Arabidopsis thaliana: one gene and its partners. The protein of the gene in region 2 interacts with the protein of the main gene of each other region in a pairwise test. Each region holds a gene or a part of one and is shown on either strand. Other genes may lie near its edges. The genes, in order: COL9, BZO2H3, RGL3 and BZIP53.

Region 1 (8,244 bases), on a different chromosome or scaffold from region 2:
CTGATTTTCTGGAAGTCATGATAACCTTTACATTATGAACACTTATCCGAACACGAAACCCAAATTTTTTCACTTCTAGTTATTGAACTTTATGTCTTGAAATATAACTATATTTATATGACCAGTCCCTAAGCGAAACTTTTTTTATGCATTCAGGCACCCAACTGTCCATTCGATTGAAAAAGAAGAGGACGGTAATGTTTACTCCGAGTCACCTTCACAAGTTCCAGATAATATGGCTGGTGAAGGTAATACTGCAACAAATACAGCTCCAGAGTATGATGTCACCAAGCAGGAGAATATGTTGGAGTCCGAAAGCAATCAAAACTCGTTTGACCAGGTTCCAAGTAATATTATTGGGATTGTTCCTCCAGCTCCTGGGAACCAGCATCCACAATTTGAGACTTCTGACCCTCAAGCACGTGATGCCCTTCGTCTTCCCAGTTTTATGGTATGCCCTTAATTACATTAAGTTGTCAAGTTTTCGAATGGTTGATCTACTTAAACCATTAATTATACTTAGCTTATACTCTTCATTGATCAGTAACATTTTGCTCATTATATAATTTTTAGGCATTGTCACCTCTAATATGTCTTCGTAATGAACTATACTTTTGTTGTTTGAAGGGCCAACAACCTTTTGATACGGCGAGCTACTATGCTCAGTTCTACCGCTCAGGTCCTGACAGTGATGGCCGTGTTTCTCCCTTCGTTTCCCCAGGGGTTGCCTCCAAATTTAATGGGATTACAGTATTGCCTCCGCATTCATCTCAAACCATGCAAGAGGTTAGTGTAGTTTTTGGGGGTTAACCTTTTATTTTATTTTATAATTCACACCTTCACGATTTTGATCTAATTTAAGATGGTTTTGAGACTTTTTCGTTTAATTCAATCTTCCAACAGTAGCATCATCAATCAAATAGTCAAATTTTCATGTCAGCTACTTGGATCTAAGTCTCATTTTTTCTTCTTGATAAAATTGAAGTAAACCTATGGTTTCTAATTGGACTGCATATTTATATGTTCAGAAGCCCTATAACACGTTTGAAAGATAAAAATATAGCTGTTATTATTACTTTTCTGGTCTGAAATGCTTGAACATGTTGATTTGTAGGGTGGAAATAACTTGGTCCTGTCTACTGCTAGTCCACCACCACTGGTAACTCAAGCTGCTGGACTAATGCAGAGCTCTATACCTGTCACGCAGCAGCCTGTTCCTGTTTTCCGCCCTCCGGGCTTACATATGTCGCATTATCCACCAAACTACGTGCCATATGGATACTTCTCCCCATTCTATTTACCTCCCCCTACAATGCACCAATACTTAAGCAATGGTGCATATGCTCAGCAACCTCAGGCAAGCGGTGTATATCCTCCACCTCCTGGAACTGCAACAGGAGGCAAATACACACTCCCTCATTACAAGCCTGGGACTAATACAGGAAACATGACTCATGTCGGTATTACTGGTGGGTATGGACCAACATATGGGTCTTTCCCAGCAGGATATAATCCCACCTCTGCTGCATCGGCCGGGAATTCGACTTCCAATGAGGATCTCAACTCATTGCAGTTGAAAGAAAACAACGGCTACAGTACAACAGGGCAACAGGTACATATTCCCTCTCCCTCCCAAAACCAACTCAGTTGAAAGTTTAGTTCCCTTTCCTGATTAATTTATAATTGTGGGGTCTCTGCAGAGTGAAGCATTACCTGTATGGATTACTGGACCAGGACGAGATGTGCCAAGCTCTTTCTATGGTTTACAGCACCATGGGCAACACGTGACTTATGCTCCAGCACAAGCTGGTCACGTCGCATTCCCAGGTATGTACCATCCGGGACAAGCAGTAACAGCAACAGGAGTCCATCATCCGCTTTTACAACAGTCTCAAGGTGTGGCTGGAGCTGAAATGGTTGCACCTGCGCCTAACGTTTTCCAACAGCCTCAGCAAACACAGATGAATTGGCCAAGTAATTACTGAAACAGGAAGTATAAAGGAGAAAAAGATTTTGAAGATTCAACAAGTTTCAAATTCCAGAGAAATCAGGAAAGATATATGGGTGCGGGTTTTTGTTGACTTGCGTGTGTGTGTGTGTGCCATCTAACAAATTACCAAAGAGATGAAGCTATGAAGTTGAAGGCTTAAGCATGAAGGAGATTTACAGAGAGAATGATCATAAGGGTAGGGAAAGGTATTGTATGAAACCAGTGTTTTGGTGTTTTCTATATCTTTTTTTTTTTCTTTTGATTTAGCAAATTTTTTTCTTTCTTAGCTTTTAAGAGGTCTTTTTTAGCTCTCTTTTTAAGTTTCTGAGCTAAGACAAGAACTTTGCTACCTGAGTCTGTATCTGAAGACTCTTCCTCTCTTCCTTCTTTTCTTAGCCTTTGGTCAATGTTTTCAAATCCGAGTCAGCAATCAAATTGGACAAATTTCTTGCTCGCGAATCAACTTTCTCTGAATGTTTATTCCTCAATTCGAAAATTAAGGCTTGTGAATATGAGTCTTCAAGAAAATTCACATTAAGTTGTAAAATCCGAAATACTCCAAATATAAATGTTAAAAACTTTTGGTCCATATGTCATCTTGAAAACTACTGTTTTGCATCTCAATCACTTTTGATAAGTGTTCAAAATTGACATAGTAGAAGCTAAGTTTAAGTAAACAGCGATAAAGCGCCTAAACTCACATAAATGGACTCCCCTTTATAATCTGACATTTAAATAATAAAGTTCAGATGTTTTGCATTGCCTCATTGTTGGATCAACCTCTTGAAGTTACTACAAACCAAAATCTCGTTAAACTTGAACTAGTACTAGTCGGTTGTTACAGAACGAGACTTAGGTTAAGTGGTACCACATAACTTTCTTTGTCTATAGAAGAATGTGGATAATGTCTTTAATTTACAAGAATGCCGAGTACAAAACAGAAAAACATTTATGAGTATACAAACAAATACAAAGGCATATACAACAATCACATATTGTTTAAATTACTCTAAATCTCCTTCCCTGCCTTTTTAACTACCAAGAGAAGAACAAAATTCATGGAACCCTGATCAGTGTGAGACGCCTGAAGAAGAAGAAGAAGAAACCGGAGTTTGGACAAGGAAAGTCAGAGAATAATCCCTCTGGTCAAGAATGAAGCTTCTGAGGCCAAAAAAAACGATTGAATCCCAAGAATGAATGATTGCTTACAAGAGTCAGTCTTGAAATCTGTTCATGCTACAGTAGTCTTGTTTTGTTACTAACCCACAATTTTCCAAGTTGCTCACTTGAAACTGCCCATAAGTCAAAACCTTTCTTGTTCGATTCTTCGCCATGTATATATATCTATGTACCTTTCAAAAGGAGTCTTCAATAACTTCTGGTTGGGGTGAGAGGGTCGTAATCATAAGCTTCACCAGCTTTGACAAATCGCCCCTTTACACGCCGTCTCACATCAGCTCTTGCTTTGCGGGAAGCATACCTCACTCTCTTATCAAACCTGTTTCCAGAAAAAAGAAGCCAGAGTCACATTAGGAAAATCCTGCACTCACTTCAATGATGCTCATGTATTTGCAGTTTCAGACTACTACTTACTTGCGAGCCTTCTTCTTCTCCTTGTAACGCATAACTGCGTTATTACGGGTTACTGAATGTGAGCAGGCATTGTTATCCTGTAATGTTGGAGGATACCATGGTGGCTCCCCCGAGAGCTGTATGGAAGATGATGCACCACATTCTTGGAAATCTCCAGCACTACTTTCTCCAGTGACTCCAGAGAAGGATATGTTCGAATGTGCTGGCTTCGATGCGAAGCAAATTATTGGCTCAGTTTTCGAACTCATGAACGAATCATTACTGCCTGCTGGCTGCACCGAATTCCCTCCCTGGATTGAGCAAAAACAAGAGAGCATTATTAGAATCACACAGAGATGCATCCAATTTGATAAATCTAAGAAGAAAGGGTAATGGATAAAAACCTCTGGAGCTGTTTGGTGCTTATGGAAAAGGCTATCGATTCCACCATGCCCGAATAGCTCTTCAGAGGGGTTAAAGGCGGTACCAAAGAGTTCTTCATAGTTCTCAAGTGCCATGTCAACTTCATCCATACCAAGGTTCCCGTAGAAGTCATCTTCACACATTCCAACATCCTTTAAACCAAAACAAACAACAACTCTGAATTTAGTAAAGAAATGATAGATATGTATATCCATGGATGCAAAAGTAATAACATATTGAGAAAAAAAGTTACCTTAGCAGAAGATGATTTTCCTTGTGGTACAGAACTGGTTTCAGGAATTGAAGAGGATCCAACCAAGACATCTTTCTTATCCTCATTACAAGTTTTCTTGTCGGTAGGACCATCATCGTCTATATTCATCATACCCAGTTCTTGTTCACAAATAGATTGTCCAGCTAAGTCCAAACAGAAAGACCAAATGGAAGCGAGTTCTGAGCTGGAAGGGCAACCCGAATAGCAACTTATGGTTTGCCTCTTATGCTGCTGCGGCGAAGTAGAAGAAGACGAAGAATTGTTGTTGTTGCTGTTGTTGTGGCCAGACCAGTCACAGTTTTGACAGAGTGAAACCCTTTCTTCAACACACCTGACAGTAGCAGGCTGAGCATTGCATCTCTCGCAGACAAGTGTCCGAGAATGTCGTTTGGACAATGCATTAGCGGAATGAACACTCCGGTCACAGGAGAGACACAAACAAGCTGCATCGGATCGACAGTACACCATAGATCTTTGTTCACCACAGAAGTCACACATGTAACCCATCTTCCTTGGCTCTGACCAAATCAACTTTCTGCTGTCCAAAAAAGTAAACAAATTATTAGATGAAAAAGAGAGAGACTTTTGGTTCAAAAAAGCAAGCCTTGAAGAAGAAATAGATGGAATCTTTCTGAATATAGGTAGTAATTTCTAAAAAAAGGTTGTAGGAGATTAATAACCAAAGGAGAAGGATAAAAAAGGGAAAGGAAACCTACTTTCATGAGATTTTACTCAATACAGAGCTTTTATTATAAACAAGAGTCAGAGACCAAAACCTACAAATGGATATTACTGAAAATCGAAATAAATTAATAAAACAACAACAACTCAAGCTTCAAAGTATAAACCCCAGATCAGTAAATCTAGAGATTTTGTTTGACTTACTAGTTCAAATGGAACTGAATCGAAAAAATCTGAATTTCCAATAAATAACGAAAACTTTTGGATCAATCCCAATCATCATCATCCGAACAAGTTTTAAAACCCCAAATCAAAAGATCCAATTCAACAAAAATCAAAACCAACCCTTCATCGATATACAATGAATAATCAATCACTAACACCAATTATACAACAGATAGCAAGAAAATAAGAACACACTTGGGATTATTAAAATCAGAAAAGAAAAGACAGAGGGAGAAGAGAAACAAACAACTCACGTAAAGAAGATCCTTCTTGTGGACTACTACTATCTTCTTCAGAAGTTGAATCCAGAAACTTTAGAGACAAATAAACAAAGCCTAGAAACAGAGAAGATGATGACTATTCCAGAACTTCTTCTTCTTCTTCTTCTTCTTCTTCTTCTTGTTGTGGCTTCTCTCTCTCTCTCTGGAGGAAGAAATGAAAAAAAAAAATGAATGGATAGACAATGGGTGGGTGTGTCCGCAAAGGGACATGTAGGCGCTTCTGACATAATCTGATTTATCAAAAGTGCCTAATTTCCTTCCTTCTCTTTCTTTTTTTTATTAATTAAAAAGACGAAAAAGTGCAAAAAAGTTCGTGTAGGGTATTGTGGGTCCCTCTCGTATTTATAGTGAAAGCAATAAAATTTTTATGGATATTTCTTAAAGATATTACTATTAGAAAGAAAAGAAAAAAAGGTTGTATGTTTTTTACTCACGCGCATGCGAGTATTGAAGATAATCTACTCGCGACGTGGAAGTTACCAAGTGGCTAGTTTGTGCCATAATGGATTCTCAAGCGTTCACTTTTTTGATGCTTTTCGACGAATCAGAATTCAGAAAATCTCCCTCTCTCTCTCTCTCTCAGTCTCAGATAATAATAATAATAATTGATAAATCTGTTTGCTTTGACCTTACAAAAGCCAAAAATATCTTCTTCTTCTTCATTTTTCGGTGGGCGTATATAACAAAAATATCTTCTTTTGGTAGAACAAATAAAATAAATTAATGATATTTATCATTGAGGGGAGAGAGAACTGAATGAAAACCAAAAAATATCTGCCAAGTTAGATACGTCTGTATAACTCTTTCAGACCAGAAAGATATTTCACACTACGTCTACGTACTACTAGCCTTTGCCCCAATATTCTTCATAAAAATAATAATCATAAAGTCGCTGAAAAATAATGAAATCAATATGATAGATCTCTCTTTTGTCCTTTTTCTTTCCTCATATTAATATTGTTCACCGGTTTACTTAAACCCATTTCTTTATTTCGATTTCTTGGGTACTCGATATCGATTTATTAAATTGAGTAATATAAAAAAGCAAAACATGATAGACCAAATATGAAAGAATGATGGTTAAGTCTTGGATGAAACCCCACCTCCATTTTTTTAAGTGTCTGACTGTTTTCACATGTTTACAATTTAAGTTCCTATTGAATATACGATTTAGTACCACTAAATAATTGATCATAACTTCAGTTCAAAGTTTATAATTACAAGATGAGAAGTCGAATTGAAATGATGCATTGTTAATCAGAAAACTATTGTTTTTGAAATTGAGCAAGTGTTAATTTTTAAACTCATATAATATAGTATTAGTTAATGGTGAGTTAATATTGTGTTTCGTTCTCAATTAAGAAAACATCAAAATGAATTGCTCTTTATCCAGACTCGTATGTATCCAATCAAAGACGAATGATCAAAGACCCTAATTGGTTAAAATATTAACAAATCTGCCTGGCAAATAAGTGAATAGTAGTCATCTAATCAAATGATAATGAAAGCGAAAAGGCGACGATAAGACGCACTAAAAAGATCGAACAAGATATATAAAAACAACAAACAAAAAAAATAACATATGATGCTGAAATGTCAGTAGGATAAGATTCTCGGACGATCCGAAAAACTTTGGTACAAAACATCGTATTCCTTCTTCTTCATCAATATCCTATTATTAAACAACCGGCTTAGCAGTTAGCAGAGCTGACGACACCTCACTTATTTTCTCTTAAGATAACATTAACTATCTCTATTACTATACTTCATGAGTGCCTTTTATGGACTTCACACCAATTTTAATCTCTCTTTTTTTATGCCTCTCCCACCAATCATAACTCTAATCATTTGTATTATATTAAGTAATCCCACTCCTATGTTATGATCCTCCCATGAGTTGACCAAATATATGTACCTTTAAATCAAAATGCTTCTGAGAGTTTAAGATTTGGTTGAACCAAGTCAGCCCAAAAAAAAAGAAACTGTTTCTTTCATAAATAAATATCCTAGAAAAAGCAGAGTGACGTGGATTTGGTTCTGCTGAGCATAAGAATTTTAACAAAAGGGTACTACTACAATAGGGAAATTTACTGCAGGTCCAAGCAAAGACTGTAGCAGTGTTGGGCCATGAAAAAGACCTGACCTGTGAAGATTAGCCATAAAGAGCACGCCACGGACTTTCTTCTTCTTTTGATGTCTTTGATGCGCTCCACTTGATTCTGTCTCTTGAGAAAGACAGTCCTGTCCAACTAGCCACGAGCTCCCCTGTTTCATGGATCACCTGTGATGACAACAACAACACAAACTCGTTATTCAGCTGAAATCAACCAGCGAAAAACAAGCATAAACTGAGACAAAATTACTAAGTAAAATTACCTGAAGCTCTTCGTCTAGAGCTTTATGAGTTAGGCTATTGCTTCTTTGGCCTATGAGAATAGCGGTAGGCAGGCGTTTAACACGAGCTAGATGAAGCAAGCATGACAAAGGTTCATAATGGATCTGCATCGATAGTGGTGGTTTCTCGATGCGAGAAGCAAATAACCTACTGGTCTCTGTTTCTGTAGCAACTTGAACGTAATGAAGACTAGCTTTTCTGTTATTTGCTTCCAGGGATCTGTTATTGAACTTGAGCTTAGATGCCGCCACAAAGAAAGGAGCTATGATTGTGGGTAGAGTTGACGATCCCCTTGTAATTAGGTCCAGCAGTTCATTCATAGCACACACTAGTACTGGAGGCTCATAACTTCGAAGAAGAAAAATCGAGACCTTAAACAATATAAGAAATAGTCCGAAAGTTA
Region 2 (7,308 bases):
TTATTATCGTATACTCAACAAAGTTAACACACTGATCCATCGAAACTAAAACAGGAGATATCAGTTGAATTAGAATTAAAATTCTATACCATATGCATTAGAGTCCATTGCTACAAATAATGAACAAATCCTTAGATCTTAAGAAAACCCAAACATTTCTAAGCTCAAAACAAAACCCACAAACGCTTTATCTAATAAAGCAATAAACTTTGTAATTAGAGGGAAGAAAGATTGATACCCATGTCGTCAAACAGATCAATCTTGAGACACTCGATATCTCTTCTCGTTTAGGGATATGGAAACACTCGATCTCTCTTCTCTTTGAAGCGAAGTAGCAAAAATGAAGACGAAAACTTTAACTCTAATCAATGTGAACGATAAAGAGAAGAAGCACATAATACTCAATCTCTCTTCTTGATCTCTCCTCTTGTTTAAACATTTGGAAAATTTCCTTAAATTTAAATCTTTGATTTTCTCCCAAATTAAAAATCTAGATTTTTATTAAAGTTTATGCAAGCTCAATGTCCACATGGCCGGCCCCATTTCATCTGCGGATAAAACTGGTCTTAAACTAATTGAACTATTTGTTTTTTGATCTGGACCAAAACCCGCCTATTTGTATTTGGACTGAGCAACCCCATGGGTGATTGCCCAATCGACAGCTTTAATCGTATGTGTTCAAACTCCATTTCCTTACTTCACATATAAGTTTAGTCTTTATATGTTGGCGAAACTCTTAACTTAAAAACCACAATTTTTAGTAAGCTTTTGTACTCTCTCTGCTAAGAATTTCAAATTCTTTCTATTTTAGTATTTAGTTATTTACAACTCCAAAATATTAACAAACAAATTGAGCGAAATTGACTATAACATTATGTTATAAACCACAGCCACACAAAAAAATATGAATATTAGTACTCAATATTATTTAAGCAATCCAAACATTGCTGTCCAAGAAAATGTGGTCCGAATGATATTCAAATATTTGTTCGTTAGAAACATGAACAAAATATAAATATTTCATGTGGCTATTGAGCCTTGTTGCTAAAAAATGGGGCCATATATCCCAAATGTATGAGCCAACACGTTTCATTAGGCCCACTAATTGATCCCACCGGCCTAGCTGCATGCATATCTTTTTTTTTTGGCAATGTTCTATTTTCCAAATCTTTCAGCATTATACGGAAAAAGAAAAACAAACCAACGAATAAATAACCCATACACGACACGAAAAAAATCCACAAAAAAATGTAGAAATAGTTTCTTGAACAGATAAACCTACTCTTTTGAAAGTAAGACAACAAAAAAAAAAATCTGATAATCAGGGGTGTTCCAGTTTTACCATCGACAAACTTTTTCAAAGTAAATGTATCCACTGTCTGTCCTAATCTAAAGCTGAACAATTAAGGGTTTTAAGCCTCAAAATATATATTTCATTTTGAAAGCACCAAAACTATAAATTTCTTGTAGGACAGTGATTTTTCCGGGTTTTTTTGTTTCTCATGTTATAGGTTTAAGTCTCCAATGCATCATTTTGCTATATTTTAAATATTTATAGGCAAAAAATATTTTGGGTTTTAGGACCAACTCTGAGTGTAGCCGTTGAATAGTCCATTCATCGGATTTTTAATAAACCTTAAACATGACACCAGGTCAAAATAAGAATGATTTAGAAATTGATTCATAACCTAACCTACATAATAATTCTTCCTAAAATAAGACAAAATGTCACACGAAATTATACAGTTTGAGATTTTTCTAAACCACTTTAACATAGAAAAGTCTACAAAATTCTACTAATGGTGTAATAGAGACGTACTTTGATAAAACGTAAATCATTCTTTCAAATAGAGTTGAACTACTGATATTCTCAAAGTCAAACCACCAACATCCACTTGGTTTGCAAGTGTTATGTTTCTCTCTCACTAGATATTCTCTTGATAAAAGGTTTTGCACAAGTGTACTAATATATGCAAAAATAAAGGACCCACCAAAATATGCAACTTGAATTTGGATAGATTCTTATCCAAAAATCAGAAGTTTAGTACATTTCTCTAATCTAACTTCACTTACAAAACTATATATTATGTTCCTCTCGGATCTCTCCTTTCCTTTGTAAAATGCAAATGGGAATATTAAATGGACCCATGAAATGAAGTTACGTTACAAAACCGACGACAACTATAATATTTATTATTTATATATTCTTGTGATGCAGATCAAAATTTAAATTGACTAAAATACCCCTTGCCACGTCAGTCTGACTTGGATTTGCCCCAAAAAGCGTTGAAAAAAATATTATTAAATCCAATAAGGCATAAACAAATATTATTACATGTATATTTTAAATATTACTTTAAGCTCCTCATATTCTTCTGTTTTTATCAATTATACACCAACATTTGTTGTTTATAAATATGAACCCCTAATCGTCCCCTTTCAAACGTGGAATATAAGATCGATATATATTACACATTTGAGTAAACAATTAGGCAATGAAGTTTGTGAAGGAGACTGCATTTCTGATAATCTTAATAATTTTTGTTTTCTTAATAATATTATTTATTTTTTTTATAAAATGGTCTGAAAAATTACAATCATTACATCGTTTCTAACGGTTTTTTCTTTCTTAAAGAATCGTTTTTAAATTTAAAATTTTCGATTATTTTTGATTTTTACCGCTAATCTTGGAATTTATCTTGAGTGCTCAAGAGTGAGTAAAATCCCTTACCTCGAAAAATCCCTTTATGGTAGAGGACGTTGGTGATAGTAACAATTTTTTCTCGTAGCTCGGTCATTGTGTCGGCCATTGTGAGATCGAAGAAAGATATTGAGATAAGGTGGGTTAAGCAGTAGATTCTCCGTTTTCCATTGTCCACTAGGATACAATTTTCTTTTTTGACTCTGATCAGTTTTTTCTATTTTAATTTGTGTATCTTAATATTATTATTCGTTGTAACTGTAGGCGAATCTCACCTTTTTTAAAAACATGTTTTAAGAAAGAAAAAAAAAAGTTTGACACTTTAATTATTTTTTCCATTCTATATATCTTATAAACTAAAAATTGTTCTAAAAAGTAGAAAAATTAGTATAACTAAAACCATATTTCCAGATACTTTTTTCCTTTTATTTATTATTAGTTCTGTTGTTAATAAAAATCGTTATAATTTTTTGTATTATGACCTGTCGTTTTTTAAGATACTACAAGAAAACAGTGACCTAACAGAATAAATCAAAAGTTTTTGCTGTAAATAGAAATACACGACTCTTGTCGGGGCCATTAGGGTAATAATCAGACAATTAAATATCTAACAAAACAACAAAACTTGAAAAGAACATATTATTAAAATGCAAGACTGCCCAATCGGATAAGAAGAAACTGTTTTGACAATTTGAAACCAAAAAAAAATAAATAAAACTAAAGAAACAAACAAATTACAAAAGAGAAAAGATGGAAAAAGTTTTCTCCGACGAAGAAATCTCCGGTAACCATCACTGGTCGGTTAATGGAATGACGTCGTTGAATCGCAGTGCTTCCGAATGGGCATTCAATCGTTTCATACAAGAATCCTCCGCCGCTGCAGACGACGGAGAATCTACGACGGCGTGTGGTGTTTCCGTCTCCTCTCCTCCTAATGTTCCTGTAGATTCAGAGGAATACAGAGCATTTCTCAAGAGTAAACTTAATCTTGCTTGTGCTGCTGTCGCCATGAAAAGGGTACTCACTACTCTGCTCAAGTTTGAGTTTTTTTTTTTTTCATAGAAAAAGAAAAACAAAACCTTTTTATCTGTTAGTTTGATGAGTTCACTTGAAGCTAAGAAACTAATCTTGTTTTGTTATGTTTGAGTGTTAAGATCTTATTGGACCTTTTGTATATGATTTGCCATTATCTTCCTTGAGATTATAATTTGCATTAGTTAATTGATTTTGTGGTGTTAATATTGAAAATTTGATAGGGAACTTTCATCAAACCTCAGGATACTTCTGGTAGATCTGACAATGGTGGAGCCAATGAATCAGAACAAGCCTCTCTTGCTTCTTCCAAAGGTTTTACAATACATCTATGATAAGCCTTTTAAGATGTTATTGATAGTTGTTGTGTTTGTTTTCAAGATTTCTTGTAAATGCTAATGGACCAATCTGTATGCAGCTACACCAATGATGAGCAGTGCTATAACAAGTGGATCTGAGCTCTCTGGTGATGAAGAAGAAGCTGATGGTGAAACTAATATGAACCCTACTAATGTTAAACGCGTTAAAAGGTAACAAATTTACATCCTTTCTTGGACTTGAACATGAACATGAACGTGAATTTGTTTGTTATAGGATGCTCTCTAATAGAGAATCAGCTAGACGGTCCAGAAGAAGAAAGCAAGCACACTTGAGTGAGCTAGAGACACAAGTATGTTACTCTCGCAGCGTTCTTATTCTTTCTCCTTTAACTTTGTTTAGCTCACTTGTGCGACAATCTCCATTTCGTGTAGGTTTCACAGCTTCGTGTAGAGAATTCAAAACTCATGAAGGGTCTCACTGATGTAACTCAAACATTCAATGATGCATCTGTAGAAAACAGAGTTTTAAAAGCCAATATTGAGACACTACGAGCAAAGGTAAAATACTTTCTTTTATCTCTCTGTCTACCAAAACTCGCTATTGAAGCATGTTTGTTTTTGGCAGGTGAAAATGGCTGAAGAGACAGTGAAGAGACTCACTGGCTTTAACCCAATGTTCCACAATATGCCTCAGATTGTTTCAACTGTCTCTCTTCCTTCAGAGACATCAAATTCTCCAGACACTACAAGCAGCCAAGTGACTACACCAGAGATCATTAGCTCGGGGAACAAAGGCAAGGCCTTGATAGGGTGCAAGATGAACAGAACAGCTTCGATGCGTAGAGTTGAGAGCTTGGAACATCTGCAGAAACGTATTCGAAGCGTTGGGGATCAGTAGCTGTTAAAGAAGAATCTTGATTTGTAACATTAATCTTAAGACATATGTTAAGACAAAATGTTGTATGTTTTTGTAAAGAATTGTTTTTTCAGATTATTTAAATTTTTTTTTGTCTTCTTCGTTGATTGTTTGTGTTGAACTTCTAATTTTCATTGTACATGTCTTTTGTTAAATTTACAAAGTTTTTCTAATTTCTGTTAAGAATTACAAGTTTTATCAATTTCACCTAGTGAAACTATTGAAATGGTGATGAGGCAACGATGCAAACGTATAATTTTGGTTATTGAAACTAGAAATTACGAGTTTAATCCCAAATTTCGGCTCTTAGAATCGGGTTTCTATCAATAATTTTTGTTTAAATCCGAATTAGATTATAAATATATATATAAATAAAATAACTATAATTAAACCTTATTAATTTATATTTTTTTTCAAAGTAACCTTTAAATTATGATTTAAGATATTCAATTATGTTCGTTTTTTCGTATCGATTATTTTGATTTGGTTCAGATCGGATAAAACATCTCTAATAAGAATTAATATGCTCTTTTGTAGAATTAATATTCATGAAATATTTAGAAATTTTGTATATTATATAAAATTTAGGAGTACTTTTGACGTATTTTTTTTTGTCGACAATTTCTTTGATTACTAACCCAAAAGGGCAAATTATAAGAGAAGTATAGGTGAAATTTGTGGATCCAAAACCCCATGATATAAGTCCAAACTAAACCCATACAATAATACATCAAATTAAGACTAGGTTTAAAATGAGACACGTGTTAGCCACGTCCCACGTGTTATTGCACAAAGGAGTGGTGGAAAACAACCGACTTGCCACCAAAAATGGAAAAATCCGGTCAGATTCAAAAGAATTTCAGTGAGGAAAATCACCATTTTCAGCACTTGATTCCAACAGATTTCAGCTTCTTACTCCGTATTTCACCAGATCCATTTGCAGCGTTTTTGAAAAGGTAGAAAACCGATGTCCTTGAATCTTCAAATCTATTAAACTCTGGAATCCGCGAGAAGATGAGATGTCAAATTAGTCGCTATACGTCGCTTTGCTAATTTGGTCTCAACCAGACACGAAATCCAACTTTCACGATTCACAAGCTCAAAGAGAAACCAACATCCAAAGCCGATTAGATGTCCACTAAACGGTATGAGGATTTACTCTCCTCAGAAACGAGATCAAGCAGATGAATATTCAGAATCTTGGAATTACCCCTCAGATTTTGCCTCTAACGACATCTGCAAAAGGAAAGGAGAAGAAAAAACTAAAAAGAAATAGCCACAAATGCTAACAAAAGCTCGCAACAAACCGAACTTTGCCGGAAACCAAAAAAAGTAATTTTGATGTATTTTGTTTTTGTTTTTTCATCTTAAACTACTGTTTTAAAGAATAAAATACTGTAGTTTTCATCTATTAGAATTTAGAAGGGATACACATGCGCTAGAGATGGCCAACCTCTCTCTTTCTTCTCTCTCTAATACTTTTTAGAGAGAGGGAGGTTCTTCAAGTCATCACCATCCAGCTTAGTTTGCTGGATTTTGTGATCGGCCGAAGTTTGGTATCATCGTCAGTTTAGCCGTTAACACAACTTTTCCGTTGTCTTGTTTTTACCGTCAACATGACTTTTTCCATTGTTGTGTTCTTGCCGTCCGCTTCCATGCGAAATCTCCGATAGCTTTCTCTAGTGGTTCAATGGTTTCACTAGTTTTCCGACGGATTCTCGAGGTGCTCACCATCGTTCTGGTTATCGTCATCCTACGAACAAGATGTAGACATGTGGCTTTCCTCCTTCAATGGGTTATCTTTTTTTGTTTGGGTTGAAGTGTTTGATGACACGTGTACTTAAGAATACTTGCTTTATGTTCTGGCTCGTAATGTTTATATTTTTTTTTTATCAATCTTTTAATTATAAAGTTCAAGTTTCATCCTACTGATAAAGCTTTCAGTTTATTAGAAAATATGAACCTCTTCCAGGTCTACCTTGTGCGTGATGTTGCAACTCTTTTTGGATGCCACTATGGCTTTATCCGGTTTTACTTTGGCAACACGGTGGTATACTTCCACTGCTTGGTTGCTTTCACTGCCTTTTTGGATACTTTGTACTACTAAATCTGTTATAGTTGAAGATGGGGAACAAGATGCAACCATAAAGTAAGCAGATGATGGATGCGATAGGACCAATTGCAAGCTTGAAGCTTCAATGTTTGGTCTTATTGAGTTTTGCTATGGATTTACTATTACCAAGTTACCATTTTCCTGTTACACTTTAGTTTGTAATATATTTATGGTTATCAGTTTGTACATTTTGTTGTAACTCACTCTTGCCTCTCCACCTCGGTTT
Region 3 (7,624 bases), 5.0 Mb from region 2:
ATCTAAAGTCTATGAAAGAGTCTGTGTGAGGAGGCCATCAACTAAATCTCTATTTATAAGAGAAAATCTCGAATGTTGTTTGGATTCCTACAAAAATTTAGTTTTGGCATGTGAGATCTAATTGCCTTTATGAATAAATTTTTTAATCTTTATTTCCTTTTTCGAATCCTAAACCATTATAGGTTTGGAAAACAAACAAAAAACAAAAGTAAGATATCCTTTTTTTCTCTGATAATCAAATCCATAAATTTTCTTCTTAAAAGAAACATATATAGCACATGCCGAGACGATAAAAACTGAAGTAATGTACAAAATCTTCTAAGTTCTCACAATGGGTATGTGGTAATAACTCACAAGACACTTGTTAACTCTGAAACAATGTAAGACTTGTGTGACTAGATCTCCTTTAGCATTTTTGGTCTGGATGATTAAAAGAAATGCAGTGATTTTGGTTAATTAATAGATTTTGTTACTTATTATCTTTAAATAGATGTAGATGTGCTTATTTTGTCAACAATAAATTTTGTAAATATAATGTAAATATTTAGTACAGTTAAAAAGATATATTGTGTTTATCAAAGGTACATTTTATAGATATTGATCTAAATCTCCAAAAGAATACTTTTCATATTTTTCTTGTCTTATCAAATTTATTTTGTATAGTTTACAGATTTTAGCTACATTTTAATGAATACATCAAAGTATTATAATGATTCCACTACTTTGTAAATTCAGTTTCTTATTTTCTTAAAACATCTAAGTGTATTTAATTAATGTAGTTTTAAAATATATAAAATAATAAAATATTTAGATATTTATACACAAAAGATAGAGGTAAATAGTGGAAATTTTCTTGGTCTAGTTAATGGCCAGCCAATCTTAATGAAAGTTTGAGATGGTAAGAAATAAATATTTTTAAGAAATGATTTGTAAGTATTATAAACAGAGACAGAACCATAGATTAAGATTTAAATTCGATAATGGAATAAATCCATTAGCTACTTGAATCTAAATTTTGTTCAAGACCAAGTCACATCCTAATTTTGCTAAGTTTAGGTTTTAACTTGGACCAATTTCGTTCAATTGTTGTTTAAACATTCCTCCAAAAGTTCCTAAGTAAAAGCACAACCTCAACTGTTCATTCCACTCAAAGATTTATATAATTTGATTTTTCCTTATTCCTCCACCAATAAAAAGAAAGATTGTTTTCATCTTATAAAAACGCGCACACAACCACATATTCACCAAGACATTATGGCTGATGCAACGGAGAAAGCCGAGCACGACCGTATTTTCAAGAAATTTGATGCTAATGGTGACGGAAAAATTTCAGCAGCCGAACTCGAAGAAGCTCTTAAGACACTTGGTTCGGTAACAGCTGATGACGTCAAACGTATGATGGCTGAAATTGATACTGATGGTGATGGAAACATATCGTATCAAGAATTCACTGATTTTGCAGGTGCCAATCGTGGACTTATGAAGGATGTTGCCAAAATTTTCTAATTTTTTTTGCCATACTTTTACTTTTGAAATGTTTGAATTTTTTTATATATATTGAGAGATTTGGTTCTAAGCATCGTCAATTCTTATTTTTGTTGTTTTTACACTTGGTGAGTTTTAATTTATATGATTGTATCCTAATTCCATGTAATGTGATGTGAGTGGATCATTCTTGAAAAGGGGGCTAGTTTGTTTTGTTTTGGTTTGTTGAACACCACAACAACGAATGTTTTGTTTTAAAAAGATATAAAAATGGCTTTAACAGTGAAGAGAACCAAAACATTCATAATTTGTTTTGTTCCTTAAAGTTCATTATTTGGTTTAGGCTTCTCGCATATACATTTTAAATCATTGATATAAAATAAAGTAACTACATTTTTAGAATTACTTAAAAAGTAAATATATTGCGGATGCATTCTCTTTAACGTAAACCTCTCCGCCTATCCTCTCGGTCTCACCTCAAACTTTCTCCTAAGTCCATGTTAGGACTTAGCCGGAGAAACCAATAACTATGCCTACACAGCCGTCTCATCCATCGATTACGACATGCTGTGGCTGTGGGACTCATGTTCCTCTTTGTTAGGAAGTCTTATATAGTTATATTTATATAAAATCAAAAGCTGATATTGTTCGGATTGTTTAGTCTTGACTACTCAGATATTGAAGTGTTGTTACGGGTAAAATCAAGAAATGGTAAGTCTGAAGATGTTCCAAGACTTGAGGATATTTAAACATTGCCATGTTTAAAGTGAGTTTAGAGAATGAGAATGTGGTCCAACTTTATCATATCTTTCTATGAATACATGTATTTTTCAAAAGTGGTGATAAAATTAGTAGTAAATATCAAGTTTTCTTTTACACATTCCTAAGCAAAACGGTTTCACCCACTTGATCAAAAGCTGACAATGAAAACCTCTCAAAAAACCCAAAAGTAGAGTTTGGACTCCGGCTTTTCAGAATAAAAAGACTCAAGTGAGGTTTAGCTTCTTTACTTCTATCATCATCATCATCTCCCAGAAACGTTAGCCTCTATGTAATAATCGAGTCGGTCCAAATTCATTCATGCGTCATTTTGTATATATTTTGGGTGAAATTAAACGTAACGTCAATTCGTTGACAAAAAATAAAATAAACGTCATTTCTTTCATATTTATTCAAACTATGAAAACACTTGCTCGTGCTGTTGTTACATACACACATGTTCCTCGTTCTCGAATCTCCACGACCAACGAACCAACTGGGTCCCAAAAGTATAAGGCACGGAATATTTCGGGCGAAATTGTCACAAAACGAAACTACTGGGGTAAGTTAAAGTAAAATAAAAACATAAGGTCACGTTCGCTAAGTCTTTTTTCTTCTCCTCTTTATGACGACGTATCTACCGCCGCAACTCCGCCGCTAGTTTCCACGCCGATGCAGCGATTAGAGGTTTCGTTTGCCACGCAAGCATTAGGCTTCCGTCGTTCTCCTCCACTCTGTATCCATCTCCACCGCCAGATAACGCCAATAGCAAACTCGCTTGCTTAAACGCGTCTGATCCGAGGTTAACCGGGTCAAACCCGGCGGATCCCATACGTTTTCGCCACTGAGCCAGCGTCTCGTGTCGCTCGATCCTATCGCTTCCTTCCGTCGCCACCAAGTTCAATATCTGTCTCCCTAAGTAAACCTCCGACATGACTCGGTCTTGACTCGGTATCACAACACCATCTTCGAGCGAGTCGAACAAGCTCGAGTAATAGTGAAGCGCTTCGTTAAACCGGTCTAAGAAAACGTCACCGTTATGGTTCGCTTCTTGTTCCACCACTGTTACGAGACCCGGTTTAACCGCCTTAACCGTCGCTAACAGCTTTTCGATCGAACCGGGTTGGGATAAAACCGGGTGAAGCTCGAAAACCGAATTAACCACTAGAGTCTCCGATTCGGTTCGGGTCTCGAACATATCCGGTTCTAAATCGGATAACCTCTCCGTCGTTAGACCATTGAATTTGAATTCGACGCCGATGGCTTGAGCCAGCTGAGCTAGCTTCCAACCTAACTCTTGAATCCCTTCTCGATTCGACGGATTCCCAACGCCGGTGAGACGAAACGACGGTGGACCACCGGGTCGGAGAGCTAAGGCTTGCATTAACGCCGGCCATTGCATACCTTGATTAAGCCCTAGATCGATTACGTGTACGACACGCGACGTCGTAACAGCTTCTAGAATCGCCTGATTGGCCGTGAAATGAGCGAATTTCAGGTAGGGACACGAGTCGTAGAAGTTCATCTGAAGAATCTCTTCGAAGGAAGGATCAATGGCGGCGGCGGAAGGATGAATCCGGTAAATTCGACGAGCTAGGGCTTCGGCGAAGTAGGTAGCGACTTTCCCCATGGCTCCGGCTTGAGAAGCCGCGAGTAATCCCACGCGCTTGACGAGAGCATCCGCGAGGCTCAGATTCTCCAGCTGAACCGCCTCGGCGCAGGCCACTAGCGCCTGAACGAGTCTAACTCCTGTCTCCTCGATAAGCACCACGGAACGAGTTGACTCGCTGGTCACTGAGTCACACCAAGGACCGAGTCGAATCCTCTTGTTGCTGTTACTATTGCTACTGCAACACTCATCGTCGTCTGTGATTGGTCTCAGATCGCAAATCCGGTTCGGGTCAAGATCCGGGTAGTAATTAAGATCCGAGAGCATGCTCTGAGCCCAACCGGAGAGATCAGAAGGATTGTAATGAACGGTGTCATTGAAGGCATTACTAGAAGAGGCAATATCATTGGACAAGACCATTTCAAGCTGTTCAAGCTTCTGTGCAACATCTGCCATGTCTGAAGATCGAACCTTGTAACCCAAAACAGCAAGAAACTCGTCCATGTTATCGTCTCCACCACCACCACAACCATTTTCTAACTTCTCCACCATTGAAGGAGCTTCTTCTTCTACAGACGTTTCTTGATGGCTTCGTTTCATCGTCAAGAAATGGAATTTTTTGGTGTTGGAATTGGTTAGACAGAAATTGTGGAAAGAAAGGAGAAGAATTTAAACAGGAGAAGGTAAGAGAGGAGAGTTAGAGAGGTCCAATGAGGGAAGTGAGGGACCTGGAGAGTGTAAGTAAAAGAGATAAGAAGGAAGAGAGGCAGGCCATTATAATTTCGCATGTGTTTTCTTCTCTATTCTTTCTTTTCCAAATTATTTCATTTTTATTACTATAACTTTATTGAATTTCTGATCCAAGTTACAAAAAATTCGTCGCTCTGATAAGGGCGTGTAGTTTTTGTTTAATGGTCCAATGGACTGTCATAGTCTATTAAACTATTTTTTAATACCCACTAAATGTTGAATTTAGAGTTTCTAGAATTATTAAATTGGGTGCTGCAGTAGATATTAGTCATATCATATGACCTATATTGATAACCCAAATAGTTCTTCTCGAGAAATGGAACTTGTAAACTCCGAAAGTAACAGCCCGTTTTCTTCAAGTATCTTGTTTCTATAACAAAATTTTAACTAGTTAACGTGACATACTGTAATAATTTTACTGACAAAATTTGATATTTATTTTTTTAAATGATACTATCTCCTAATAATTTGTTTGCCGAAATGGTATAAAATAATACTAATTTTTAAAAAAGTTTGAGAAGAAAATAGAGGTCCCGATAGAAGTACAGCTCAAAGTATTGCAGTTAGGGAGACAACGTGACCAACCTCACGGTCGACATGTGGCGGCAGTCGACATTAGGTATCAGACGTCTACAACATTACGTTGCTTTCTTATTATTATTATGTTTTCATTTCTTTATGTGTGTAAATTGAATTTTATTCCCCATACCAAAAACATCATTTTAAACATGATAGTTACATATATAGAAGATTTTTATAATAGAGTAGAACTGAACATAAAAATAGATTTCACTCTTGAATTAGTTTGTTGGTCTAAGTACAAATGGCTTATTATTTTCCGTTTTGTGAAAATAATGTATAATCCTGTATAAAATAAAGTTTCGAGTAATTTTATATGACTTAGCGAATGAATACACAAGCTAAATATATTAGTATATTACCCTTCGTTCGTTGATATATTGGCAATTTTGAGGGAAACAAATAAATGACGAGACTATTTAATGGCCGGATACGTTTTGAAATGTTACCCAAGTTACTTTCTCGACATTTTAGGCGGATGATCCATTGACTAATTATCCTCTTAATTATTCGAACAATAAAAAAAACTACACTATCCAAAACGTGTGGTAAGAAGATATTTATCCACAATGTTCCGTAAATATCTCATTTATTTACATTTTGAAACCTATCATCAAACTAAGTAACCAACCCTGAAATATTTAGTCAATTATCTTACAAAAGAAACTCAACAAATCCCCTATCATTGTGACAAAAACCCTTGATTTCACTCTCTATATATACTTAATGATCTTCCTAAAACACAGTCACAACGAAATAAGCATGGCAAAAGCAATCGCTTTAACTGTCTTTTTGTTCTTATTCTTGTCATTAATATCTCTAACCCTAGCAACAGATTATCCACTATTCACAAAGTCTCGATGGATCGTAAACAACAAGGGCCACCGCGTGAAGCTAGCTTGCGCGAACTGGCCTTCGCACCTCAAGCCAGTGGTAGCAGAGGGGCTGAGCAGCCAGCCAATGGATTCAATATCGAAAAAGATAAAAGACATGGGATTCAATTGTGTTAGGCTCACTTGGCCACTTGAATTAATGATTAATGACACTTTAGCCTTTAATGTTACCGTGAAACAATCATTTGAGAGATATGGATTGGATCATGAGCTTCAAGGGATTTACACTCACAATCCATACATTGTCAATACTCCTCTCATCAATGTCTTTCAGGTATAAATACATAATTAATCATGTGATTCTAGTATTACATAATTTCTTCAACTCAAACAAAAACTATTCTTTTCATGTTCAATTAAAAATCCATGGTTTTTAAATAAGTCATTTGTGACTGAAAAATATGACTAAAACATGTTTTATCTTATATTGCAATAATGATTATTTTTCCATTTCTTTTCAGATCTGATCATCGTTGTAATGAAAAAAATATATTTCACATGCTTCTTGTTTTTACTATATGATATCTTCTAACGCAAGGCAACATGTTTGTGTAGGCTGTGGTGTATAGTCTTGGGAGGCATGATGTGATGGTGATACTTGACAACCACAAGACCGTACCGGGGTGGTGTTGTAGCAACGATGACCCGGACGCGTTCTTTGGCGACCCAAAATTCAACCCGGATCTATGGATGTTGGGTCTTAAGAAGATGGCCACAATATTTATGAACGTGAAAAACGTTGTTGGTATGAGCCTGAGGAATGAACTTAGAGGCTACAATCATACATCAAAAGATTGGTACAAGTACGTATTTATAAATTCCATTTTCATTTATTTATCATAACGCCCATGTGAAGCTTGAAGGCCAAGGAAATTAATACACGTTAATTATCTGTCTATTTTAGATCTTAACAGATTATATTCCGTTGTGCTATACATAATTAAATCCACAATAATAGTTAAGTACAAGTACATTAAAAAATATATATTTATATTGGTTAATATAGGAATCCAATGTCCATCAATTTAACAACAAGAATCAACGCATATAAATAATAAATTAACTTGATTCTAACCTTTTTTTAAATAGAAAAAATGATTATTATTTTTCCACATGTAGGTACATGCAAAAAGGAGCAGAAGCAGTGCATACATCAAACCCTAACGTACTGGTCATACTCTCAGGGCTTAACTTCGATGCTGACCTAAGTTTCTTAAAAGATCGTCCAGTGAATCTTAGCTTCAAGAAAAAACTTGTCTTGGAGCTTCATTGGTATTCTTTCACTGACGGTACTGGTCAATGGAAGTCACACAATGTCAACGACTTTTGCAGCCAAATGTTCTCTAAGGAGCGTCGTACCGGCGGTTTTGTTCTCGACCAAGGCTTTCCTTTGTTCTTGAGCGAGTTTGGGACCGATCAAAGAGGTGGCGATCTTGAAGGAAACAGGTTCTCGACCAAGGCTTTCCTTTATAATTACATTTAGATATTTGCTTACCAATCAAAGCTTAAAGTACTTTTATCAACCGTATACCATTAGGTACATGAATTG
Region 4 (6,923 bases), on a different chromosome or scaffold from region 2:
ATTATTTAAAAAAGTTCAGGATTAGGAAATTAGTTTAGTGTGTTGACAGATTGGATTTGGCATTATTAACGTGGTGGGACACACTCGGGGAACACGAGCAGCGAATGGTTTACTTTTTTAAAAAGCAAATTCCATAAAATGCCCATTGAAGAAATAAGAGATCAGGCCCATGTTTAAGGCCCAATAAGACACAAATGGAGTAGAGAAGTGATTATCTGCTTACGCAACTTCTTCAATCACCCACCATTTCGTTTTCGTCGTGAGCTTCTGTCTCGTTCATCTACACAATCTGACTCGGTAAAGTCCATATTCTTCCCTTGATGATAATTGTTGTTTCCTTTATGATTTTGTGGTGATTTTCGTTATAGATAGGTGGCGGATTGTGAAGTTACGATTAATTTTTATCAGATTCGAATCCATTTCTCGTTTTTTTTCCCGTGTAGATCGGTGTGCTTAAGATCGGAATTTCTCGTTTAAATCTTCCGTTGATTTAGATTTGATGCTCTTAGTGTTGTGATGCTTTGAAACGTTAATCCTTTTCTTCGGGAGAAATGCCAATTTTATTTTCAGTATCTGGATCCTGTGGATTAGGGTTCTTGTATCATTTTGGGAATAAATTCAAAGCCTTTGATATCTTCCTTTGAATAGAGACGTAGTTAAGAGGTTAGACAGAAAATGGATCGAAATTGTACATGTTTATGTGTATATATAGACTCCAAGTGCAAACCAGTAGAAATTAAGAGATCAGGTAGATTAGTGTGTGTGTGTGTATAGATGTTTTATTGGTTGTCAATAAAGTTTTCAGCTTTAGGAATCGTGAGCATTGTGAAAGTATCAATTATGTTAGTATTGACTCTATGATTAAAATGTGTGCTAGGTTGAGAAGAAATGGCAGGACACAAGGTTGCGCATGCCACATTGAAAGGCCCGAGTGTTGTCAAGGAATTGATTATTGGTTTGACGCTTGGTTTAGCTGCTGGTGGTCTCTGGAAGATGCACCATTGGAATGAGCAGAGGAAAACTAGAACTTTCTATGATTTGCTTGAGAGAGGTGAGATCGGTGTTGTCGCCTCTGAAGAGTGAATGGGAATGCCTCTCTCTCACTCTCAATGTTGTTGGCTCGATTTTTCTGTTTTTATGGTTTCTTGAGATCTCAGATAAGTTACCTAAGAAAGTTGGTTGCTTGAGAAATAAACAACCACTCAGACATCAAAATTGGATATTTGTTAACACATTGTTTTCCGGAGATACAGTGGTTGAAACTTGAGACATCTGTCTTGACTTTTCCTTAAACAGTGTGTGATCATTTTATTATACTTACCAGCTTATTTTTTCTCATCTTTTTTGGATAAAATACGCAACAGGCACTTGTATCTTAGAAAACGGCTTGGATGGCTGCAAATTTTCAACATCGTACTGCTTCATAAACGATATCAAATACGTGGAACTTAATTGTTGGTTAATAGAGGATAAGAAATGGGGTTCACAGAATTAAATTCACGCACACTTCATATATCTTGTTCCCTCCCAATTATCTGAACTATCTTCTTTTATCAAAAACTATATTCACAGGCTGCCGTGTACCTTCTCCATCCAAAGATGGCAACTATAGCTACTGGTCTTAACATTGCAACCCAGCGTGTCTTCGTCACCAGCGAGAATCGGCCAGTTTGTCTCGCCGGTCCGGTCCATTTGAACAATTCGTGGAATCTTGGGTCAAGAACAACTAACCGGATGATGAAACTTCAGCCGATTAAAGCAGCACCGGAAGGAGGGATATCGGACGTAGTGGAGAAAAGCATTAAGGAAGCTCAGGAGACTTGTGCGGGCGATCCTGTGAGTGGAGAGTGTGTAGCTGCGTGGGACGAGGTTGAAGAACTTAGCGCAGCAGCTAGCCATGCTAGAGACAAGAAGAAGGCTGATGGTTCGGACCCTTTGGAGGAATACTGCAAAGACAATCCTGAGACCAACGAGTGCCGTACTTACGACAACTGAAGCGATCAAGATCCTGTTCCGGATTCATACGTATACGACAAATCTTTGTTCCGGTCCATTTGGTAATGTCAGGTTATATAAATCATGTCTTTGAATCTGAATTAGCTCTAAAAACATTTGTAATTTGTAGTTCCATAAACGAATACAAAAGCCAAAATTTCATAACAGGTAATGCGCAGCGAATAATAAGAAAGCTTGAATTCAATAAGAAACACATTAGACACCAATTACATGAGACACAAGACTAGAGGACTGAGGCTACAAAACCATACAAAGACACGAACAAATTGAAATTGCATAAAGATTGCGTTGTCCATTGACAACACAAGACTCAATTCACCAATGACACACTAATTGTTACAACAAGGACAGTAAGTAAAACAGACCAAAGACTCGAACTCAATGCTTCATTTTTGATCCTTCAGATATGAATCATCCATCTTCAGCAATCAAACATATCAGCAGAAGCTCTGATTGGTTGCATTGGACAAGGCATCTGCCAAGGGTTCTGCATAGATTCAGGAATCTCAGGAATATCCAAAGCCTGACCACTAATTTCTTCAACCATCTCAAGCACAGAGTTCAATGATCTCAACCTATCCGTCAACTCCGAAGCCTGTGCCCTCAAGACATTGTTCTTAGACTCCATTTCAATGTATTTCTTTGAAGCTTCATCAACCTGCTCAGTGATTTTAGCGTTATCATTCTTGAGAAGAGTGACTTCGTTGATCAAATCACCAAGTTGCTTCTGTTTCCTCATCCTTGACCTCCGAGCAGATTCTCTGTTAGAGATCATTCTCTTCCTCTTCCTCTCATCCGTCACCGTGGCGTACCTCGGATCATTATCGGATTCAGGACTTGTTTGCATTTGCAACGACCCCATTTCTCGTTGACTTTTTGACTTCTTCTCACCAAAATTAAAATCAATATAATATTATTCTTCTTCTTCTAGAGATATTTTCCTATAAAAACCTCTCAAAAACACAATCTGAAAATCCCCGATTTCTAAATCTATCAAAGAATAAGTTAGATCAAAAACGAAAACTGAGATCGAGAACGATTACTTCATGAGAAAACGTAGGTGTAGTAGAGGTAAACGACGGAGAAAGAGTGTAGAATTCGAATCCGACGAAACAGGATTGAGTAGCTCATAGATTCATTCCTAATTTTGTTTTTTTTTCAAAATTCCCAAAAACCAAACCCTAGATCAAAACAAGCCTCTAAGCCAAATTTCCGATGAGAAAGAAAAAAACCTAGATCTAGATCTAGATCTGAGTGACAGAAGAGAAGGAAACGAATCAAAGAAAGGAGATGAATTATCTGAGAAACAAGAATTGTGGCTGAATCGAGAAGATTGATAAACGAAAAAAAGCTTATGATAGGATCAAAGGCCAAACGAAAGAAGGCGATAAAGTAACACCAAGCTTATCCTTTTAAAGGAGAAGATGGTGATGAGCTGTCCTAAGCCTTTTTCTTTATTTTTACAATATTTTAATAAAGGAAGATAATTAACTTTTGGTCATAAATCTTTTTATTTTGTTTTTTTTTAAAACGCAACTGGGGGAAACTGACGCCAGCTGTGACGCCGCCAGCTGGAATTTTATAAGGGAAGCACGTTTTGTTGAGGGAAGTTTCTCCGTCTGTTCACGGATGGAATATTCCACCAAGATGCCTCCTCAGAAAATATCAAATATTATTGCCAAGTGTTAATTAACTGAATATTATATATTTCTGAATTTGAAAATTTCCTCACGAAAGCAACGTCTAACACACAATTCATAAGCGTAATTATAAAACGACCATTAACTATAACGAAAGTCTACCAGATTGTTGTTTATATGCGGCTCTCTTTGGTTAAAACTTAAATGATGACGTGACGATTACATCATTTTATTGACACGATTTTAAATTACAAAACACAAGACTGAGTTGGGAAGTTGGCTCGTGGGCTTTATAATAGCCTTAATTCAGCTGATGGGCTTAGCTCTCCCTTACACACTCGAAAAATCCAGTTAGAGATAAGAAAAACGCCAAGCTTATGTCAACAAAAGTTTGATCTTTTTAAGATTACTTCTCTCACAATCTTCACAAACTAGATTCTGAGCTTATGCAAAGATTTAAGAGTGTGATACAAAAACAAACTCAGTTCTCTCATGTCAATAAATGGGATATGTTAAGATTTTGTTCAAGAGGGCTTGATACGAAGTTTGCATTTAGATGAATTTCTCGGTAGCATTAGGAGATCCAACATGATCTGAATCTTTGTGTCAGCTCTTATTATTGGCTTAAGCTGAACTTCCAAAAGCTCAAGACTTGGCAATTTCTCTAACATGTGCTTTATTTGCACCATTTCTCCAACAGTTCTCATGTTGAGGCAACAAACACTTGTTTGTTCAAACAAACTTGACCTGGACTTTGCATTTGGATGAAGCTCTCGGAAGCATTAGGAGATCCGCCAAGATCTGCAGCTTTCTGTCAATCTTCTTTGTCTTAACATGAATTTCCAACAGCACCAGACACAGCAAATTCTCCAAGACATACTCTACTTGCTCCATTTCTTCAATCTCTCCACCGAACTCAGTTATCTTTAGGATCTCAATAGGGCAGGACAAAAGGAAAGAATACCCATCCAAGCATTCGCAAACAGAGTTTTCATCCCCATAGCCATGATAATGCAAAGCCTGCAAAAAGACCGGAATTTTGAGATTGAAGATTTTGTGAGTTTCAATTCTTTTGTTTGTCCAATGAACTTTTGGGGTTTTTGGTCACCTCAATGGTGAGAGTCTTTAGATTTGGAGATTTTTCAAGAAGAATACGCAGATCATCCCAACAGATAGCGTCATGAGTACTAACTGATAAATGAAACAGGTTCTCAAACACTGGGACTGCTTCCCTGAAGACCCAAAACAGCTGGAACAGAATTGAAAAAAAAAAAAAAACTAGTCAGTCATAACTTCAATAAACATTCTAATGTATAGAAAGATTTTTTATTTTAATATCTCAGTGGAGAGCACTTACGTGCATCGTGTCAACAGCTCCTAAGCGCAGAATCTGAACATTTTTCAACCCCTTGATCAGATTCCTAACATTGTAGGTATCCCCAATATAAAGAGAAGGAAGTTCTAGCTTAGCTTCCACAAGGGAGTTGAGCTTAACAACTGGATAGCTATCTCGGAGAGTATCAAAGTATTTAAAGTATTCAAGACTAGGAATATCCAAACTGATAGGCTCAAAACTAGAGCCATCATGAACCCATTCTTTACGCCGAATAGTAAGTCGCTTAAGGATCTGACTAGATACTCTGCGAGACCATTTCCAATCTTCACAGTTGTGGCCATCTATGACTAACTCCTCGAGCACAGGGCAAGCAGAAATAAGCTTTGTAAACGAACAACCAGCAGTGTTATCGAATTCGAACCGAACTGTATCAAGAAGGAGAGTCTTAAGAGCAGGAAGCCAAGCATTCTTAGGGAGAATGTCAATAACAAAACCAGACCCTAGTTTCATTTTCACAACGCTCTTGCAAGTGAAGATCTCAGAAGGCAGTGAGTAATCTCCTCTGACATTGATGTCCAGTTCAAGATCCAAGACTCCACACTCCAACACATTGCGTAAACAATCATTGACAGTTTTATACTGAGCAAAATTCAAAGACTGCAACTTTAGAGAGAATCTCCTAATACGGTGACTGGCAAGTCGAGCTAACATTATTCGATCAGCGAAATCTTTGAAACTTGCACTAATGGCAGACGCCGAGGAATCAACGAAAACAGCAATCGGTATGATGGTAACCAGATTCAGCCAGTTCTTGGAGGTATACTTCAAGCAAGTAGCTTCTTTTGTCGAAAGTAAGGAGATCACGCGATAGATAACACCATCTGGTAAATTACTGATTCTATCCATTCTTTTCTCAAACCCTAAAGAACCCTCTTTTCACTACCCAGAAAAACCTCAATTTCTAATGGAACCTTCAGTGACTTGACTTCAACATCAACCAAAATTCCCAAACTAGATCAATTTCAAAGGCTAAGACGAGCTTACTTCACATGTAGGCATGAAGCAGAAACCTAGAAATCATCGCAATCGCGTTTATGCAGAACCAAGAAAACCGAAGCGTAATTTGCAGAAATTGGGGTAGACGAGACACTCAATCCGATCAATTTGAGAGATTTCTGAAGCGAAATTGAATCTTCAATGAGAAATGGACGAAGAAGTAGAGCGGAGCCGTAGCATTTTCTTGAGAGCAGAGGAAAGAAATTTGAATTTTTATTATCTATTAATTTTGCTCATTTTTTATATACTCGGATACAAAAACAAAACCTTTTCGTTTTTGAGCCAATCATTTTGCGCCACCTGTAGTCCGCCACTCCAAATTTCGGTTTAGTGTGGGGTTGAATTGTTTAGATTTTTGAATTATTTGGTATAAGCATAACAAAACTACCAAATTAAAATTACATATATTTTCAGTCGATTTTTCAGATTATTCTATTTAATTCAGAATAAAATAAATTATTATTTCAACGATTTTGAAGGTTCAATCTAAATTGGACGTGTAATTCCTATAGTTGAATATGAGAAAATGCGAAGCTGTTTGTTTGAAAATAGATTGGAAAAAAAAAAAAAAAACGACAAACGTTCTTATATGTCAACAAAGGTTTGTACCTAATTTTGTTGAATCAATGAAGATACTTAATAAGTAAATCTAGGAAACGACCTCGAATTTGCACTTGGACGAAGCTCTGGGTAGCCTTTCCAGATCTGCTATGAGTTTCAGCTTTCTTTCACCAGTTGCTTGAGAATGAACTTCCACTAGCTCGAGACATGACAATTTCTCCAAGAAATGTTTCATTTGCATCAATTCTCTAAAGCTACCATAGTACTCAGTTATCTTTAGGACTTCCAGAGGACATGAAACTAGGAAAGAATAC

Evidence for each region.
Region 1: the proteins of BZO2H3 (region 2) and COL9 interact in binary tests that used the Arabidopsis thaliana proteins (3 or more experiments, as listed by UniProt).
Region 3: the proteins of BZO2H3 (region 2) and RGL3 interact in binary tests that used the Arabidopsis thaliana proteins (3 or more experiments, as listed by UniProt).
Region 4: the proteins of BZO2H3 (region 2) and BZIP53 interact in binary tests that used the Arabidopsis thaliana proteins (3 or more experiments, as listed by UniProt).

Annotation. Positions count from the first base shown.
Region 1 is NC_003074.8:2,439,016-2,447,259, reverse strand, and holds COL9 (CONSTANS-like 9), read right to left. Parts: upstream 5,692-8,244; 5' UTR 5,420-5,691; intron 4,798-5,419; exon of another isoform or gene 4,795-4,797; 5' UTR 4,767-4,794; coding exon 4,239-4,766; intron 4,138-4,238; coding exon 3,967-4,137; intron 3,874-3,966; coding exon 3,584-3,873; intron 3,489-3,583; coding exon 3,359-3,488; 3' UTR 2,728-3,358; downstream 1-2,727. Other genes in the region: AT3G07660 (flocculation protein (DUF1296)), read left to right, coding at 157-451, 628-786, 1,115-1,612, 1,701-1,985; AT3G07640 (period circadian protein), read right to left, coding at 7,599-7,727, 7,823-8,212.
Region 2 is NC_003076.8:10,794,291-10,801,598, reverse strand, and holds BZO2H3 (bZIP transcription factor family protein), read left to right. Parts: upstream 1-3,293; 5' UTR 3,294-3,451; coding exon 3,452-3,718; intron 3,719-3,957; coding exon 3,958-4,048; intron 4,049-4,151; coding exon 4,152-4,263; intron 4,264-4,327; coding exon 4,328-4,403; coding exon of another isoform or gene 4,404-4,485; coding exon 4,486-4,611; coding exon of another isoform or gene 4,612-4,678; coding exon 4,679-4,951; 3' UTR 4,952-5,142; downstream 5,143-7,308. UniProt on the Arabidopsis thaliana protein: Transcription factor involved in controlling responses to starvation. BZIP2-BZIP63-KIN10 complex binds to the ETFQO promoter to up-regulate its transcription.
Region 3 is NC_003076.8:5,761,435-5,769,058, forward strand, and holds RGL3 (RGA-like protein 3), read right to left. Parts: upstream 4,813-7,624; 5' UTR 4,454-4,812; coding exon 2,882-4,453; 3' UTR 2,555-2,881; downstream 1-2,554. Other genes in the region: PC1 (pollen calcium-binding protein 1), read left to right, coding at 1,255-1,506; AT5G17500 (Glycosyl hydrolase superfamily protein), read left to right, coding at 5,945-6,349, 6,631-6,878, 7,195-7,521, 7,613-7,624. UniProt on the Arabidopsis thaliana protein: Probable transcriptional regulator that acts as a repressor of the gibberellin (GA) signaling pathway. No effect of the BOI proteins on its stability.
Region 4 is NC_003074.8:23,089,407-23,096,329, forward strand, and holds BZIP53 (basic region/leucine zipper motif 53), read right to left. Parts: upstream 3,445-6,923; 5' UTR 2,879-3,444; coding exon 2,438-2,878; 3' UTR 2,180-2,437; downstream 1-2,179. Other genes in the region: AT3G62400 (cytochrome C oxidase subunit), read left to right, coding at 1,007-1,267; CP12-2 (CP12 domain-containing protein 2), read left to right, coding at 1,600-1,995; AT3G62430 (Protein with RNI-like/FBD-like domain), read right to left, coding at 4,389-4,676, 4,765-4,905, 5,014-5,898; SAF1 (F-box/RNI-like superfamily protein), read right to left, coding at 6,698-6,923.